Linked DNA regions of Arabidopsis thaliana. The protein of the gene in region 1 interacts with the protein of each later gene in a pairwise test. Each region holds a gene or a part of one and is shown on either strand. Other genes may lie near its edges.

Region 1 (5,093 bases):
AACTCTTATTATGTCACTGTTCTTTACGCTTAGAGAAGGAGTTTCTAATAACTCTGAAATTATATCACTTGCAGTGATGGCAACAACTCTGATGTCTCTGTTCGTCATATTTTTATTTCCTCTGTTCCACGGGGAGTGATCTCTAAGGGGAAGAAGTTTTGTGGCCACTATGTGATTTCATCTAAGGAATTCACTGATGAAAGGGTAAATAAGAATCAAATACATGAAGATAAAAGTTTTCATTTTGAGAATACCATTTGGATTTTCATTTCTATGAGATATTTTAGGTTGGCTCAAAATCATACAATATAAAATTTCTACGTGAAAGAGTTCCATCATGGATCAAGATACCTACCTCAGCTGCTCTTCCATTCGGAACATTTGAGAATATACTCTCAGATGATTCCAATAAGGTATAACCTTTAATCATTTGCTTCTTTCTGGAACTCTCTAAAAGTAATCCAAGGGACGGCTCCTCACTGAGCTTGCGATCCAGAAGTCTCTTAAATAGATTTGGTGATCCATCGCTTTTCAGGATGTAGCACGCAGGATTTCTGTCCTTAAAGATTCTCTTAACAGAGGAGACCTGACAAAACTTAAGTCCATTCAAGAAGCTATCTTACAAATGAGTGCTCCAATGGCTCTGGTAATAACTGGGCATATAATTGTCTTTCTTTCTCTCTGTTCATGTTCCATGTGAATCTCATGTTGGGTTTTGAACTCTTTGGTAGAGAAATGAACTGATCACAAAATTGAGAAGTGAAAGAATGCCTTATCTTGGTGATGAATCAGGCTGGAACCGCTCCTGGGTGGCAATTAAGAAGGTAAGAATCTCTTTGAACGTTTGTGTACTTATAGTTAAAGGAACCAAGTGTTTCCCTGATCTCCACATCTGCATAGGTCTGGGCTTCAAAGTGGAACGAGAGAGCTTATGTCAGTTGCAAAAAAAATAAGCTTGATCATGATGCGGTCTGCATGGCTGTGCTGATTCAAGAAGTCATTTGTGGCGATTATGCTTTCGTCATTCACACAAACAATCCGGTCTCTGGTGACTCTTCAGAAATATACACAGAGGTTAAAGAACTATCTCCAGTTTCCACACTTTTGAGTAAATAATATCAATAACTCAGTTATCAAGAAACTGGCGTTCTCAGATTGTGAAGGGTTTGGGAGAGACCTTGGTTGGAGCATATCCAGGACGAGCAATGAGCTTCATCACCAAGAAAACAAACCTCAAGTCTCCAACCGTAAGAAACAAACAGATCCTAGTTGGCTCTTAAGTTGAGTTATATATTAACCGAGTGAGTGGGGAATTTGGGTTGTACAGGTGATCAGTTACCCAAGTAAGAGGATAGGTCTGTATTCTAAACCCTCAATCATATTCAGATCAGATTCAAACAACGAGGATCTCGAAGGCAACGCAGGCGCTGGACTTTACGACAGGTTTGTTTTGTGTGTTTCTCTCTGTTTCCGTCTTTTATTTCGGAACTCAGAAGCTGAAAGGGTTAAGTGCTGCAGTGTGATAATGGATGAAGCAGAGGAAGTAGTGGTGGATTACTCAAGGGAGCCACTAATAATGGACAAATCCTTTCGAGTGCGTCTATTCTCAGCGATTGCAGAAGCTGGAAATGTGATAGAGTCAATCTATGGTTGTCCTCAAGACATTGAAGGTGTTGTCAAAGGTGGACATATCTACATCGTCCAAGCTAGACCCCAAGTTTAAGCTCTCTTTTTCTACTTGTACCATTCCCTAAGTTTTCAATCAAATCTTATAATTACAAGCTAATCTTTTATATGTTTGCTATTACACATGTAATATTTCTACATCATGGCACACTCCTGATACAAACAAACATGATTCAAAGTTTCATAATAAATGATTGTGTGATAAAAATCCAAAACTCGTTTAAACGACATCGTATGAAGGGTCGCATAAGCGAAGAAGGATATAAAAACAGTCGCCGAGAAAGTCTCCCGCTATGGATACCGTTCTCATGGCTACAACACCACCAATCAGATGTCTTCATGCTTCAATTCCTACGGTGTTCCGTTCGCCGGCGATTTATCAGGTCAGCTGCCGGAGCTCCCAACTGTTTTCCTACCGTTCGACGACTATGATGAGCATGTGTTTTCTCAGACGGTCCGATTTGAGATCTCGCTTTCTTAGTACTCCGAAAACCACTTCTCCGATGAGACGACCTCGCTTTTCCGTCGGTGCTTCTACGGAGGAGTCTTCAATTCCTTCTAATCGGAACCTTATCGTGGCTAACTCCGTCGTAATCGTAGCTTTAGCTGTAGCTAATCGCGTGCTCTACAAACTCGCTTTGGTTCCCATGAAACAGTACCCTTTTTTCATGGCTCAGCTCACCACTTTCGGGTAACTTAAACAAGAGTGGCTATGAAAGAAATTGGGCAGTGAAGGAGCCTAGCTTAGATTATGATAAATGAATGGTTTTTGGCAGCTACGTCTTGATTTATTTCACCATTCTGTATACGAGGCGCCGTCTAGGCATTGTGACGAATGAAATGATGGATGTACCCAAATGGAGATTCGCAATCATTGGTTTTCTCGAAGCTCTTGGTGTTGCCACTGGCATGGCTGCAGCAGGTATCCCATTTATAGCATGATTGAAACTTTACATATTTATAAGGTTACATATGGAGTGATTCCACTCTCTGTTGCAGCAATGCTTCCTGGACCAGTTATACCCATTTTGAATCAGGTCTTTTGGTTTTATGATTATCTTCTTGCTCATTTGTTCTCATGGGGGTGTTGAACTCATGCCTCCCAATGTTTGGCAGACATATTTGGTGTGGCAGCTGCTTTTTGCTCTTCTTATTTTAGGCAGGAGGTTTTTGCTTAACCAAATTGCTGGTTGTCTCCTTGTGGCTGTGGGGGTTGTGGTGGCTGTTTCAAGGTATTCCTTCCTCCCTCTTCTCTTCTTCTAAAGTTACTTTTATCTTCTTGGATCTGGATGCTTGATCTTGGGGTAGAGAAATGTTTGTGTATCCGTGGTCATTTACAGATTATATCAAGAGAGTGCTTTCAGCTCTTACAATCTAGAAAACTAGTTTTCATGGACCAGAGTCACACCTATCAAATTCACCATGCTAAATGAATGGAGACGGCTCTACTTTAGTATTTATCATCCACATAGCAAATAGAAGGCCCTGATTCTAGAGAAGCTTGTGTGATAGTGATACTTTCATTTTTGTGAATGCTGACTGTAACTCATCTGCAGTGGATCTGGTGCAGATACTACGCTATCTGGAATCGGTTTCTTATGGCCTGCTGTATTGGTAGCATCCGCTGCTTTTCAAGCTGGTGCATCTATCATAAAGGTGAAGGTCGCTCTCTCTTATGAGTTGTGAACATTTCTATTTTATTTTCTTTTGCCAAGACCCAAGTTGTTAAGTGTTTTGTCTGTTAACAGGAATTTGTTTTCAATGATGCTGCAAAGCGTCTTGAGGTATCTCCCTTATCCCCTGCATCAAACAGGAATGCTTTTCTTTCGAAACTTTGCTGAATTAACTCTAAGATTAACTGGTGGATGCAGGGAAAGTCACTGGATATATTTGTGGTAAATTCATTTGGATCTGGATTTCAGGTATCTACTACTACAATATCATGTTGTAAATGTATTTGTTACAGCCAAAACAATTAGACATGCTTCTCCATTACATCAAGAGTACGTGAAGAAAACATTTGAAAGCTGCTTTCCTCTGTTATTCACTTATTATCTCTCTCCTACTTGAGAAGAGTTTTTGTTTTTTGGTTTAGTGTTACGGATCACTGAAGCTGTGCTTGTGCAGGCTCTTTTTGTGTTCCTGTTGTTGCCTTTTCTCTCAAACTTGAAAGGCATTCCATTCGCCAGCCTTCCTTCATATCTAAAAGATGGTGCCGGATGCTTCTTCAACACTGGAGCTAAGATTTCTGGTTAGAGACCATTCGACACTTGTTTTTTTTTCCTTCATTGAATTTTATTCACTGCTAAAACTTTGTGATTATCCATTTGAGAATTTCAGGCTGTGATGGTGCCCCTATACTCCCACTGCTCTATATATCCACCAATCTCGCTTTCAACATCTCATTGCTCCATCTGGTGAAAATATCTTCAGCAATCGTTTCCTCTCTTACCATGATGCTCTCAGGTCCATATTTCTATCCTTCCATGCAACGCCTCTTAAGTGTCACCAAATACTCAAACCCATATGAGATAATACTTTTGGTGTTGTTGTAGTGCCATTAGCGGTGTACATAATGTCAAAACCATTGCCGTATCTACCGGGAGGATCAAGCTTGAGCTCAAATTTTACGATGGGGTGTATAGTTCTTGTCCTAGGTCTTCTTCTCTACAACATTCCCACTACTCCAACTAAACAACACACCAAGACCTCCTAACACACTCACTCACCATTCATCCTTTTTGTGCATTACTTTTTTTTTTGTTGATAAACCAAATTCGTGTAATTTCCCAATTTTTTTTCCTTTGACCATCAAAGATACATAGAATATTCTCAGATATTTTTTTTACGTGAAAAACTAGCTTAAAGAAAAAAAAAAAAAAAAAAGAATAACAAGAAGAGAAATTTGTGATTGGTTAAAAATCCAGTAAAGTAGAGTCGTCGGGTCGTCTCGGAAGCAGTGCTGCGATTTTACCTAAAGTCACCTTTTTTTTTTACCGTCGGGTGAATTCGACGACGGTCCTAATCTCGCCTCCTCCACACGCGCCGATCACCATCTCTCTCTGTAATCGCTCTTCTCGATGTCAACTATTTCCTTCTTCCTTTGCTCTTAGGGTTAGGGTTTATTTTGTTCTTTCTCTATATCCTTCAATCAATGTGAAAAAAAAGCTCTCCCTTTTGGCAGTTTCCGATGTTTGGTCGCCATTCGATTATCCCAAATAACCAGATTGGTACCGCCTCTGCTTCCGCTGGTGAAGACCATGTCTCTGCCTCCGCTACGTCTGGTCACATTCCTTACGACGATATGGAAGAAATCCCTCATCCTGACTCTATCTATGGTGCTGCCTCCGATTTGATTCCCGATGGCTCTCAATTGGTTGCTCACCGATCCGATGGCTCTGAATTAC
Region 2 (6,223 bases), on another chromosome or scaffold:
AATTTGCTCCTTGAAGAGCCTCTTTGGCTGCGACTGCTTCCTCCACATGTCTGTAGTATATAAACGCAAAGCCTCGTGAAGAATACACCGTGATTCTATCAATATCGCCGTATCTTCCAAACAACTCGGTCAGATCTGACTCTGTCGTCTCCGGCGTTAGGCTACCGACCCAAAGATTGTTTGACTGGAAACCGGAATCATCGGCTCTGAATGGCTTCATAGATAACGCCATCGGGATTGTTTCAATTGACGATCCTATGGATCCAAAATTCCAATCCCAGAATTGATTGTTTTACCTTTGGGATTATGAGATTTCGATTATCCACGTGACGGAAAACGAGAGACGAATTGTGCGATGATACGTTGAGCAAGAAAAATTCGATGAGAGATTTGGGTGTTCAAAATCCTACCTACAGAGAGGAGAAGAGAACCCTAGATTGAGTTTGAAGACGAAGAAGATTAGATTGTGAGAGAAAGAGAGGCCAGGGAATATCGAAGCGGCGGCTTTTAAAGGATATATAAGGATACTTTCCTTTTTTTTCTTTTTTTTTTGGAAACCGGATCAAAACGGTGCATTTTGATAGTAGTTATGGCAAATTCGTAAATAATCATATATCCATCCCCTCTCAGTGAAGATTACATCCTGATAGCATAATGTTTGTACATAAGACATCTAATAACTGCAATTAGTCTCTGGGATTGTTGGTGTTCGTTTAGTGGAGGACTTTGGAAGCTTCACATGAACATTGGTTTAGATGAAGCATCAGAAACAGGTATCACCATCCTTTTAATAAATGTTAAGCATTCGACGAATATCCGGGCTAGGTGGTAGAGCTCAAGCTCGTATTGCTCGTAGATGAAGAAACCGGTGAATGAGAACGACATAACTGTCCAAGCAAAGCGTAGAGAAAATGTTATGGATAAAGAAGTTGTTAATCATGTTTATGAAGTTGTTAATCATGTTTATGAAGTGTGAAAACAAAAGCTTTGTTCGAGTACCTGTGAAAAGAAATGCTGCCAATGAACGGGATACAATCAGTTTGAGGAGATACAGTGATCCTGCAATCTGTTTTTATGTTTTGTTTTAGGAAACGAGAGCAATGAGATATTTTTCATGTTTGGTGAGCATAAAGAGTAGAATTGTACCTTGAAGAACTTGATCCAGTCTCCTCCACTGCTTAAGGATTTAAAACTGCGAACTCCTTGATTCCAGACAACTACGATATCACTACTAAGATCTCTCACAGCGGATTCGGAGATCTCAAATCTCCATGGGGGTATTTTGTTGACTTGAAACCCGAAACTGTCAAAATAAATCAATCTGTCACTTAGTTGCATATAGATTTCAAAGGTGAAATATATATACATGGGTGCATCATCCTTTGATAGGACAATTTTGGTATCACAACTTATTTTCACTGCCTTCTATAATGGTAAAGTTCTGGAACCAATACTTACATCTTTGACGGCACAAAAGAGACTCCATAGAGAGCAACAGCAAATATAAACAGAAGTTGGGCTGCAGATGAAGTAAATGTGTTTCCAGAAAAGAAGAACCAGTAATAAAACAAGTTTAGGACAAGAAAAGAAACGAAGGTTTTCTTCTCATTTCTCCACAGCAAGATGTCTGCAACTGCATGAGAACATAGAGATGAAAAGCTAAGTCAGTTTAAAGAGATTAATATTAAAAGCTTGCATTGACCAGATTCGCTTTGAGTTTGTTTATATGTGCATGAAATAAAGTTGGAACTCGCATGAAATTACATGGACTGGAAGAAGATGTAAATTAACCAAGCAGATACTTCAGCATGTTCTAGACATCTAGAAGCAAACAAATCTAAGTTGAAAATAGAGATAGATTCTTTCCAGGTTAAGCCTTGTGAACATGCATCATCATATCCATAGCTAGATGAGATGCGGACTTCAAGCAATACAACTGAATACTTAGCCAAGAACACTTCAAAAAGGCATTATAATTGTTAATAGCGAGATGGTTCTAACCTTTCCCACAACCAAGAAGCTGATCTGCAGTAGATTGAATGATTGTGTCATCAGACTTCTCAAGATCCCGAGAGAACCATTGAAGCGTTGATGCAATACCATCCTACAAATCCAACAAGAGCTAATAAATCCAAGGAAGGTACTAAGCAGCTGAATATGCAAAAAGCCAAAATACTATCCAACAAACTCACTTCAAGTGTCACAACAGGTGTGTAACCAAGATGCTTCTTAGCTGCATTGCAGTTAAAAGTTCTCGTTGATGAAGCTAACAGAGCATACTGATGTGCTGTGTCATAATTACTCCCAAGGCCCTCCTTTTCATGTGTCCACTTAAGAAGTGAGAAAACATACAAAACCAGCCGAACAGGAAGTTTAATGGATGGTCTGCAATTAAAGAGGAAAAAAAAATATCAAAACAGGTAAACCAGAAAGTTAGCTCTAAGGATCTAAAACTTTTCAAAATGATCAATATTTAAGACATAGGAGAAGGAAACATATACGACCATGTATAAAATACTAAATATCAGCGAATCACCATGTATAGATAGTTTATATCTAAAAAAACTAATTGAATATGGCTGTTCTCGAAACGGTTCTTCTAGACATGTCTCCAGGACATCTATCAACAGAAAATTAAGATCTTTTGCTTTAAGAAGGGAACATTCAAGGTAGGTTCAGAAGTTCTGAGGAGCCTTTTTCCCATGCTACATTGATAATCAGGAAACAGAAAGATAAAAGGAGTTCACAGCAAGTTTCATTGTATCAAAAACTGTTCGGATGCTTATTTACCTTGGGTATCCCAGACCTTCAACTATATGGCTTACAAAGTCCCAAAATCTGACCGGCTTGAGGTTTGTGATAAAAAATTCCTACATAAAGTCGGCACAGTAAAAATTCATCACATATAAAGTTCATGCGCTTTCAGGAGTGATTTGGCAAATACACTTTGACTCAAAGAGGTTACCTTTCCAGCCACAAACTCCATCTGTGAATCTAATGCTTTAACGGCGCAAATATGTGCATGAGAAACGTTCTCCGAGTAAGTGAAATCAGAGATATTTTCACCACTCCCGAGTATAAACTGAAATTTTAAAAACTAAGACAGTCATTCCTCCAAAAAAGGAAAACTAAGAATGCATCAAGCTCAAGGAATACTACCAGGTATAATAAGATAATAAACGTAGACGCAAAAACGCAACAATGGGATGAACTAATAGTAAGACCTTTGCATATCCGGACTTGGCTAGATTCACCAAAAAAGGTACAAACTCTGTGTCACCAGGTCCAAATACAATGCTAGAGCGAAGTGCACAAGTTAAGAGACCATCTCGGTTGTTAGCCAATTTGATCAACGCTTCTGCTTGAGCTTTGAAGTCTGTCAACATAGATTGGAACTGCAAGAGAATCAGAGCAAAACAGATATCATCTCTGAAAAAGACCAACGACAAAAACCAACTAAACAAACATGCTCAAGGATTACCTTCAAAGGACGTCTCAAGGATTCATCACCATCACGTATAGGTTGGGAACCATCAAAAACAACATCAGCTGTACTGTTGTAGATAAGTTTTCTGACTCCAGATTCACGACAGGCAGAAATCACATTTCTTGTACCTATACGAGAAATCGATTAACCACCCAAGTTTAACTAATATAATGGTAAACCATCTTGAAGTGACTAAGAACTTTACCTTGAACTATAACCTTGTAGCAGTCAAAGTAATCATGGGAACGTAAATCAGTAGCTCCCATGTAAAATACAACATAGGAACCCTCGGTAACTGCAAGGAACAAAACAGTCACACCAAAACTCAAATCAGAACCCGAAAATCTCAAATAGCCAAACACTCCCCCATAGCATTTTCTAGATACCAAAAACCGATCCATCAATGTCATATCTAACAAAGTGCAACAGGAAATAAGAGGAAAACCTTTAACGATCTGAGGTTTATCACGAACATCGACGCAGTGATAAGAAGCGCGGCCGGAGGAGAGAGCATCCTCGAGGAGCGAATCGGATTCATCAAGATGGAGAGTGTGACCGGAATCTGCGACTCGGACTGTCCAGTTTCCGAGACGAAGCAATCTGGAGACAAGCGATCGACCAATGAACCCTCGTCCGCCGAGGACGACACATGTCTTGAGGTGAGAATCGCCATGGACGGAATCTTCGTCCATTGTTATCGCCGAATTAAACCCCAGCTCTATCGCCTTTTCTCGGTCGAGTCAACTCAGAGAAAAAGGCCGAGTCGAGTTGGATCAGTGCACAAAAAGCTGAATACTAGGGGTTGCTTGGCGGGCAGACTCTCCACTCGCGCAACCTTTTAGCGTTTTCCTTTATTCTTCGGCTGTGTAATTATAATTTAATATTCACACTTTTTTGCCATAAATCTATGGATTTGACTTAATTTATGTAAATTATCTGTATAATTATTCCTTGGTTACAAACAAATCTAGTAAAGCTAATATTAAATCGTAGACGCACGGTTGCGTTTTCACGTTTGGTGAGCCAATTCCATCAATCCACCAAACATATGATTTCCATTGTTAGAAATTTGGTAAGCACTTGTAGAGAGAAACTAAACCGTATCTATCTATACACTTGTGTATGTATGTTGAAGCATTCATTACACTTGAAAATCTCATAATTTAATAATTGAGTTTAAACTAAATATTTAGATTTTTTTGTGTTGAATACACAACTTCAAATGATAACTGAAGAAAGCCCAAAACATATAAAATATTGATCTTTGCAGCTGATGATTGACTTGCAAATTTTTCTATACAAATAAGAAAATATACCCAAGTTTTCAGAAACGATCTCTGGCTCTCTGTATACGACGCAATGCTTCAGCTTCGGTTGCTGAGTCTGGAATGCTTAAAGATTTTCGGATATCTTTGCTCGATATTCTGAGGAATGGGTTACACGCTTTCTCAACCTTGACAGTCGTTGGAATCTACAGACAACAAATCCGTAAGTAAATGAAATCTAGAGAGAGGTTTAGAGAGAAAGAGGAGATAGGGAAGAGATAAGAGGTTTTACCGATGGGAGCCCCTGGCTGCGAAGATGGGCGACTCGAGTTGCATAGGACTGAAGAGTTTCATTCTTTGGTTCTACGGATAGAGCAAACTTGAGATTGCCCTGTATCATGGAGGAGATATAAAAGAGAGTTGAACAATGTGAATTAAGAGTATTTATGTGCGTGGAACTTACTGCTGTGTTTTCACGGCCGCAGTATATATTTGTATCGTCTGGTAGAGACACGATCTTTTGGAGTGATGAAAGCATCTGAGTCATAAGGCAAAAAAGGTTTTCTCGTTAAAAAGGACAGAGCACAATAAGTTTGCTTCTGTGAAAGAAACTACAATGTACGGTTATTAGAGTACTCCCAAGTCCCAAGTGATCTCTCCATAAAGTCTATACCATTTGACTCAGCACAGTTTGCCACAAGAAAGTAACCATAACAGTAAAAAGATATGAAGGTTGAAAAAGAAACATGATTTAGAAAACCACAAATCACTTGGCACAATTTTTGCCACAAGAAAATAATCATAACAGTGCAAGGGTCGAGAAGGTTGAAATATTGCTTTTTGAAATTGATGTTACCTGCTCAGGGGTACCTTCTGAAAGGGTACCACAGGATAAGCTATATATCAGGTCTCCTGTGAATATTGTCGCTGACCCGGGAAAGTAGAAGCTAATATGGCCTGCTTGAGAATAAGTACAGTTAAGTGATAAAACATGGCACCAAGTATACATTAATTACTAGTTGTACTACACTAGAACGATAAAAAAGGAGAGCAGTTACACAGTAATGTATTGAGGATAACAAATTAGAATGACAAATAAGATACTAATATGTGATCCACCAAAGGTTTCTAACGTTGGCAATATTTGACTGTATAGATGTGTTCTTAGTATTTTACAGTAGAGGTTATGGCAGCTACAAACCTTGTGTATGGCCAGGAGTGTCAAGTATCCGAACCTCATGGCCAGCAAACATCCACTTATCACTATCCTTCAGAAGTATGTCAATTCCAGGAATCCGATCTTTATCTACAGCTGATCCAATCACCTGTCGGCAACATAAGTCACATAAAAACACTTGAGTATATATAAAAGAAGCAAAAACGAAAAGAACAACTCGACAAAGGTGCAAAACAAAAAGGTCCAAAAAACCATTTTTTCTGGTAAGACTAATACTTTACGACATCTCAAAAC
Region 3 (4,232 bases), on another chromosome or scaffold:
ATTCGATAATTGGAATCTCAGCAAAAGGAGAGAGATCGTGATGGGAAATGAAGCGAGTGTACCTTGCCATTGAGCCACATTCGATCCCGATCAAAAGCAGGACTAACGGCAACAGTGGTGACTGTGCAGAGATGATCAGGATCAAGAGTTACGCTAATGCTATCGTTAACGGGGAGAATCCGAACCTCATCTCTCTTTCCCCAATACTTAATCACCGCAATGTTCGTCGGAGTTTGCGCCGTCACCATGAACACCCATTTCTCCGTCGCCATGTGAATCTCCAAAAGAGATCTGCAGCTTCAAAGTAGTTGAAAATGAAAGCGACGGAGAATACGACAGAATAATGATGACTCATTGCCTTTACAATTTTAAAAATATTATTTTATTCAAAAATTGAGAACTTCACTAACTGTAAAACTCTAATCAAATGGTTATTGCCATTTTGATGAAAACACCAAAACTTAACCTAAAACGTTTTAGGAAAAAAATTGAGTTAGGTAAGAAATAACCAAAACACGAAAATCATTGTGATGCATGAACTTTATGCTTAAAGGCCTTTGAGTTGTCTTGTCTTTGATATTGGGATATTTGTTAGCTGGGAAAGGATATGTAATATATAAACCACTGATTCATATAAGTAACACCATTGTTCATGAGTAAAAACAGACTCTTATTATAGCTCATACAGCATTGGTTAAGATAATTGAAGAAAGCATCTCATTCCAAATATCCGGGACACCGGGCAAGCACCAATGACTGCAATCTGATGAAGGTCCAGCGATACGATGGTGCTTCTCTTCCTCGTGCATTGCTCTCTTGAACACCGAAGGATGACCGTCTCTTCTATACGCAGACATTGTTGTGATATCGTATAAATACACTCGGTATTTCATTGTCCTTAGCACTTTGTTCAACACTCTTGACTGTTGAGGCACGTGGGGTTTGGTGGAAGAAGATAAAGAAGGCAAGGGATGTTTCTGGTTGTAGCACATCTGACCACTCTCTCTGCCAAGAATTTATGTACATGAATTAATGGTGTCCATTTTGTATATATGTTGAGATTAAGAGGAGAATATAAGAAAAAACCTCGGTGAGACAGTGCGGAAAATGACTTTTGTTTTGGATGGATCAAGATTTATCTCAACCCATTTAGCCCATGTGGTTAGTCCTCTCTCATAAGCAACCATTGGGTCCATAGCTTTGAAGATCTTATTCCCATCCATGTAATAATCCCACCTAAAACATCAATAGCTTGCGTTACTGTCACAAATCCCAAATCTGATGTAAAATGAGACACAATAACAAATACAATGAACATAGACGTCTATGAACCGTTATACACTAATCATTTGCTTTTGAAGGAAAGATGTAAGTGTTTATTCAGATGACTTACGAACTCCATCTCTGAGAGTGAGTCCACCAGTGAGCGGAATCGAATACAAGAACATCTACACCACGCCAATATCTAGCATTGTCTTCGATTGAGTCCAAATGTAACACCCTTTTACGGTCAACTCCTCTCTTGAGTTCCACAAGCAGAGGAGCCCAACAAAACTCAATTGATGTCTCAAAATCCTGTATAGTAACCAAATTTAATAGTTGCATCTACTAACCAATGATGTATATGTGATTCAAAAGGAGATTTGTGATTATTAATTACCAGAGAATGGAAAGACATCGTAGGACCATTGTAAGTGAGCTTCTTACGATGAGTGGGAAGAACAGACTGTACTAAGCAGACAAGAGATTCCCACTGGTTTCTCATCATTGAATCTCCAACCAGCATTATTCTTTTTCCTCTCATTTTCCCAAGAAATTTCAATGCGTCAAACCTAAACACCATCATGGAAAGAGCCACTATTTTGGTTAATATTAATGTCTCTTTCCCATTTTTCATTAGTCAATTTATTCATCTTGCAATTAACCATGCAAAGCCAATATAAACCAACTTTTTTACTTGATGAGACAGAAATTTTAAAAAGAAGTAATGTAAGAAGTAAGAGGAGTGTGGAGTGTGCCTTGGTAGTGAACAAGCCTTAGGGATCCATCTCCATTTCTGGTAATAAGAGTCGGGTCTTCCATTTCTTTGGCAACTTAGTGCAGAACTCAGATATGGACAGCTTGAATCATAGAGCGGATACGTTTCATCGAACGTCCATTTCCCCACCGAGTAATCACACCTCTCCTCTCTTCTTTCACGCCTCGTCTGCAAGGCGTTGAGTGGATCATCGTCCCCTACTAGCCATAACTCATCAAACTGAGACAAAACTACTTTGCCAAGGATGAGACACAAAGATAAGAACAAGACTCGAGTCTCTGAGGTAGCCATTTGACCAGGAAACTGAGCAGTGTGGGCTTGGAGAAAGAAATAATATAAAGAAGATGGGCAACAAAAAGTGGATAAAGTGAAAAAGGGCGTTAATTACGGAAAGTGGTGGTAATTAGTAATTAGACTTATGCTTGAAATCATGTCCCGTGACTTGCGTCTCCTCTTCTCTCCATCATATCATTTTTTTATAAAAACAGATTACAGTATCCAAGGCGGGATTTGTGAGTTTGGTGGAGCGTTTTGTATATGGTTTAAAAAATCGAAATAGTTTCTCAACAAAAACAAACAGAAATAGTAGAAAACAATCCATATAAACCAGAAAAAAGAATTGCAAATCAAACACAATGGTAGGTTTTGTAAGACTAAAGAAATGTAGGTTTTGTTGTAGAGACCCAAAACTCTCCCTGCCCTCAAAAGGTCATGAACAGACCAAATTCAGGACCCAACCTTCCTTATTAATAGTTTTAAGTTAACCCAAATATGTAAAAAAGTATTAATGAAACGAAACCAAGACATGGCAACACCTTCTTCAGCTTTTAGTATCCTTCATGCTTTATCAAACTCACACCATCCCCAAACAAACATAACACAAAACAAACACTATGCTCTTTGGTTAGCTTCTGTCCCAAACAGATGTCATCTTTAGTATGTCAGTCGAGATTAAGATAATCCTTTAGAAAATCCATTTTTCTTGATCATCTGAAGAAGATTCATCTAACCATGATTGGTGGATGTGCATCCACGTCAGCCTTTGCTTTTCCTCCTTTCAATTTTAACCCATTTTCAGTTATTTTTTTCCAATATTATTTAACCAATCTAATCGTTTGAAATCTTAAAAGGATCATAAATCAAGGTTTACCTTATAACTCAGTAAGACTTTTGTTGAACAAGACCGTACTTTTCCCTCTGTAAACACGAGCTAGACATTAGAACATGGAAGCAAACTTCTACAGTATACCCTTATGATGAGAAATCAAACAAATCAGTTGATCGTATTTTCTGCTAAATCATTTCCTAGCTCGATAAGTCACAAGTATAAGCCATGTAATTGAAGAACAAGATTTCTTACCAGATAACTCATGCTTTACAAATTTTGCAAGCCATGTATCTGAACTGATATGAGAAGACGTAACATTATCCAACCAAATGCGAAACTTCTTTTCCTTCCCATCACCGTATAAATTTTCCATCTCATCTATCCATTCATGTATCGGTTTCTCCACTCCAGACGGATGAACAAAAATACCAAGTGGACTCTGAAACATTGCAAAAGCATAACAATTACGTCAACTAATAAGTCTACACAACACAAGCAATCAAGAACATCTTCAAAATTATCAATTTGAGCACTTGAATTTCCATTACGTTAGATGCTAGAGAGCTTTTTTTTGTCAAATAAACACACTTACAGAGAGCGATTTCAAATTCTGCAAGTACTTGTCAGACTTTTCCACCTCTCCACAACGCCATCTCTCATAAAACAAATAAAACTGAACAACCTCATGAGCAGGATTCAAACTTTCCCCATGGAAATTTTCAGTGTCCATAACATCTCTAGGAGAGACATTTGGTCCCAAATTAAACCTCTGAATAGCTTCTATCATACCAGCTCCACACCTCTCAGACGCATGAAATATTTTTGGGTTGTCCTTTGCATTTTCTTCATACCATTGCAATAATTCTTCATGCGAATTGCTAACCTTAAACAGTAAAAATATAAGCACAATCACTCACGCGTAGTCAAGTATGATCGAACCTAAAAAAAAGTAGTTGGGAACTAACCATTACGCCATATACGTCAGAAATGTTGAAAAGCTCAGCATCATTTCCAGAGTCACCACAAACAAGTGTGTTAGAAGGCTGCTTGCCTTCAATATCCAACTTGTCAAGTAGATATGTCAAA
Region 4 (3,413 bases), 1.9 Mb from region 1:
ATAAAGCATGATAATAACGAAATAATAAACAATACATCCTCAAACCAACTATTTTAAAATGCATAGAGTTTGGAGGAATAAGGAGAAATCTTGAAAATTTATATATATTTTGCTTGTAGTTTGCTTTTGTTTTTCTTATGTTTTATCTTCTTTTTTTGCTTTAAATTAAACATGATTAACAAACTTTATATTTTGGTAATTCTAGAACACTATAACATATTAAAAAAATTATAAACAAAATAATTCTTCATAGACAATATAAACCTATGTAATTATCTCTTTGAAATAAATAAATTAAATATGTTTATTAGGAATAAGTCTTAGTTGGTTTTGCTTAACATTTACCAAATGTAAAAATATTGTATTCACTCTGGGACTAGGCCGGTTGATATTAGCGAGACGTCTAAACCACCTCAGATATTTTAGAGAGTTCCTTTTAAACACTTATCTCTTTTACAATTATCTAATTTTTTTACTAAAATAAAAATTTAATTGTATAATCAAATTATAGTAAAATATTAATATTTTTTTTATTTGAGAATTTTTTGGGGTTCTCTTTGTTGGAGATGGTCTAACTACTTCTTCATGTCGTGTCTAAAAAGTAAAATGGTATATATAGCCAAATCCCTATTGCATTTGAACTTGATAATTGTTGTGATAAAATTAAAAACTAGATCATTGTTCATATAAAGTTACAACCTTTCAATTCGTAATTGTTGAAAATGAGAGAATCGATTGGATAATTTGTAATAAGTGATAACTGAGAAGAGGATCACACTTGTCTTCGTTATTGTATTGGCTTGTTGGAGATAATTAGATAGGAATTCTATCATAGGATAATGTTTTTAATCAGCACGCAAAATTGCCTTTTATTTGTCACCAAGGTCTCTGACATGCATCAGTACATCAATATCCACATCCTGAATTTTGATCGCAAAAGAGCTCAAGTTCTTTTTGCAGCATGTTAACGTTCCTTCACTGGATATGCGTTGTTTTGAACTATGTAGACAAATTCAGGAAAGAAAAACTGAAAATCTTGTGCTCAATTGTGAAGACTTAAGAGGAAGAAGAAAGTGACGAAGATGATGTGTTCATTGCCACTTTCTCTTCATCATCTTCCAAGACGAACAACATCTCTGTATTCCTCCTACACATGCCATGAACCAGAACAACGGGCAAACCAGCCAAAACCCCGATCACAATACCGCGGGATACATCTGTTAGTAGAAATATACCGATCGTGAGGACCAACAAAACCAGCACCAAAGTAGAATCATCGATCACACTGCCAAATATCACCCATGGTTCATTATCACGGGAGTAGACATATAGCCATGCTACTATCAAGATAACAAAGACGGAAAGGTGGACGGGTTGCCAAAGCATGCTGATGAAGATACTAACAATGAAGATAACAATGTAGTTGGTTCGAAAGATCATGATGTTGGATTTGATTCGTTCAGTGGCAACGCTAAAGGAGATAGGAAGGCTAAAGGCACTACATTGGACAAGTTCAAGCCATGGCCTTTGAGAGCTAAGACCTAACGAGATCAATTCTTTGGCTCGTCCTAATAAGCTCAGGCTCGACGAAGCATTTTCTTGGGATGGTATAGTGCCATAGGTTGTCATATTCTTTCACAAGCAACAAACAAAAAAAAAAAGGAAGGAAAGAAACAGAGTACGTCCCCAGAGGAATCTATATGGACTAAAGAATGTGAAGCAACCTAATTTGAAGAGAAAAATCTGTGTTGGCTCAATGTTTCTGAGGTAGTTAGATCATCTATCTTATTTGGGAATGTTTTATTTCAGGACACCAGAAGAGAGGCAGATACAAGCAGAGATATTCAAAGGAATGAATGGATACCCTTAAACTTCTCAAATCAAATCCTTATACTATAACGAGACTGTCATTACATGTAATTTCTAGAAAATAGATTCTTAAGAGAGTCATTAGACTCGAAATACAGACACAAACATTCTACTGAACCAAAAGAAGTTTTTTGATATACATATACTAGTGAACCAGTATAAATCCATTTATATCTGCGTATCAAAGTCGGAGATACATCCTTCACCATAGTCTCTGATAGCCTAATCGTTAGCTTCACTGGCTGCTAGCATCTGAAGCAATAGCCTCACCACGATAAACTCTCCATGGTCCTCGATAGAATACTGGCTTCATCAGAGGCACTGTTTTCCCTGGGTGCTCTTCCCAAAACTTCTCCTGTTTACAGAGAGTGGAGTAACATAAAGTTCACACTCAAACAAGAAACATAACTGATACTAACACAAAACAGTGTAAGAAACACATTGACAAAGAATACAATATACTACAGAACAATGAATTAGATTAGATACTAATCAAGACGTAAAAGCTTCATTGAAAGACCTAATGAACCATTCCCATGAAAAGCAATTCAAGTATAGTTCTTTTCATGATCACACAATCCTTTATTAGTAATCAACAATGAATCATTTCCAATTTTATCACATTTCGAACCCTAACATTTACCAATCACGAGAATCAAATTAGAACCCACAAATCTAATAGCAATTCCGGGCCTGAATCGATAACAATACGAAGCTGACCTTGTAGAGCTGCTCTGTAACTGCAGCGCCGATGACGCCGGTGTAAAAGGCGGCGACATAGATAGTAATCAAAGTTGTGAAGGTTTTTGGTCGACGGTAAGGTTCGATCATTTCCCAAACAGCAAATCTCTCGAACTTATTGTACTTATAATCAGCATATTTCCTCCATAGTTGGCTCCACACTCCTTGCATCTCTCAGATTTCTCTCTTCTCAAACCTTCGCCGAATTTTGGATTTCTCCGTCTAGCTGTTTCGCGGCGGCGCGTGGGAACCTGAGAAAAATCTGATATCAAAAGGCAAGACTTTAAACGTTAAAACGTTTACCAAACAGTCCTCTTATTCCTACATGTTTTAGTTTTCAGCCCTTAACTTATCTTTAACACTTAAAAGTCTTGAGCTCACATTTGTAAATTTTTAAAAAATCTTATTTGATATGATTCTTGTAAATTTGTAAATTGTAATCACAACACATGATTATTGTAACCATTGTGCTATGTATTTGTTTTTCACTATCGTTCGGTAAGTTGAGAAAGTTATAAATTTACCCCAAAACTATGGAAATGAGACTTATGCAACCTCACATGACTTCATCAATAAGCTTGCTTTAAAGCAATAAAGAACAGCAGTAGTGAAAATACATTTGCAATTGACTATTAGCAGAAGAATCGTAACTGGCTTTAGGAAGTATTCTTTTACACCCAAAAATATGACGATATACAGAATTTTAAGCTGAGTATTTGCTTGAGCAACCAAAGATTGTTGCCTTAGTAATATATCTAAAAATCTGGCACTTCAACTTGATGCAGCTGGTTTGGCTAATGTTA

What was found.
Region 2: the proteins of CLT2 (region 1) and AT2G43420 interact in a protein complementation assay, tested with the Arabidopsis thaliana proteins (one large-scale study listed by BioGRID).
Region 3: the proteins of CLT2 (region 1) and TBL36 interact in a protein complementation assay, tested with the Arabidopsis thaliana proteins (one large-scale study listed by BioGRID).
Region 4: the proteins of CLT2 (region 1) and PRA1.C interact in a protein complementation assay, tested with the Arabidopsis thaliana proteins (one large-scale study listed by BioGRID).

What each region holds. Positions count from the first base shown.
Region 1 is NC_003075.7:12,640,909-12,646,001, forward strand, and holds CLT2 (CRT (chloroquine-resistance transporter)-like transporter 2), read left to right. Parts: upstream 1-1,945; 5' UTR 1,946-1,979; coding exon 1,980-2,377; exon of another isoform or gene 2,378-2,448; coding exon of another isoform or gene 2,449-2,462; coding exon 2,463-2,608; intron 2,609-2,685; coding exon 2,686-2,723; intron 2,724-2,802; coding exon 2,803-2,918; intron 2,919-3,242; coding exon 3,243-3,342; intron 3,343-3,434; coding exon 3,435-3,470; intron 3,471-3,557; coding exon 3,558-3,608; coding exon of another isoform or gene 3,609-3,665; exon of another isoform or gene 3,666-3,813; coding exon 3,814-3,937; intron 3,938-4,026; coding exon 4,027-4,152; intron 4,153-4,241; coding exon 4,242-4,402; 3' UTR 4,403-4,448; exon of another isoform or gene 4,449-4,547; 3' UTR 4,548-4,593; downstream 4,594-5,093. Other genes in the region: PWD (phosphoglucan, water dikinase), read left to right, coding at 75-204, 288-413, 536-646, 732-824, 901-1,074, 1,155-1,247, 1,328-1,443, 1,519-1,723; ZIM (GATA-type zinc finger protein with TIFY domain-containing protein), read left to right, coding at 4,877-5,093. UniProt on the Arabidopsis thaliana protein: Involved in thiol transport from the plastid to the cytosol. Transports probably both glutathione (GSH) and its precursor, gamma-glutamylcysteine (gamma-EC).
Region 2 is NC_003071.7:18,030,758-18,036,980, forward strand, and holds AT2G43420 (3-beta hydroxysteroid dehydrogenase/isomerase family protein), read right to left. Parts: upstream 4,426-6,223; 5' UTR 4,180-4,425; coding exon 3,933-4,179; intron 3,783-3,932; coding exon 3,693-3,782; intron 3,616-3,692; coding exon 3,482-3,615; intron 3,396-3,481; coding exon 3,225-3,395; intron 3,083-3,224; coding exon 2,966-3,082; intron 2,871-2,965; coding exon 2,791-2,870; intron 2,386-2,790; coding exon 2,193-2,385; intron 2,105-2,192; coding exon 2,002-2,104; intron 1,634-2,001; coding exon 1,459-1,633; intron 1,304-1,458; coding exon 1,147-1,303; intron 1,067-1,146; coding exon 1,000-1,066; intron 888-999; coding exon 736-887; 3' UTR 511-735; downstream 1-510. Other genes in the region: FPA (RNA binding protein), read right to left, coding at 1-232; GLX2-1 (glyoxalase 2-1), read right to left, coding at 4,812-4,958, 5,045-5,143, 5,216-5,290, 5,609-5,709, 5,954-6,077.
Region 3 is NC_003074.8:20,084,417-20,088,648, forward strand, and holds TBL36 (TRICHOME BIREFRINGENCE-LIKE 36), read right to left. Parts: upstream 2,552-4,232; 5' UTR 2,330-2,551; coding exon 2,019-2,329; intron 1,833-2,018; coding exon 1,661-1,832; intron 1,576-1,660; coding exon 1,394-1,575; intron 1,237-1,393; coding exon 1,087-1,236; intron 1,006-1,086; coding exon 681-1,005; 3' UTR 555-680; downstream 1-554. Other genes in the region: AT3G54250 (GHMP kinase family protein), read right to left, coding at 63-272; AT3G54270 (sucrose-6F-phosphate phosphohydrolase family protein), read right to left, coding at 3,003-3,092, 3,189-3,235, 3,399-3,585, 3,739-4,029, 4,112-4,232. UniProt on the Arabidopsis thaliana protein: May act as a bridging protein that binds pectin and other cell wall polysaccharides. Probably involved in maintaining esterification of pectins. May be involved in the specific O-acetylation of cell wall polymers.
Region 4 is NC_003075.7:14,532,391-14,535,803, forward strand, and holds PRA1.C (prenylated RAB acceptor 1.C), read right to left. Parts: upstream 1,684-3,413; 5' UTR 1,630-1,683; coding exon 1,057-1,629; 3' UTR 547-1,056; downstream 1-546. Other genes in the region: AT4G29654 (Protein kinase superfamily protein), read right to left, coding at 36-64; EMB2752 (embryo defective 2752), read right to left, coding at 2,105-2,224, 2,590-2,781.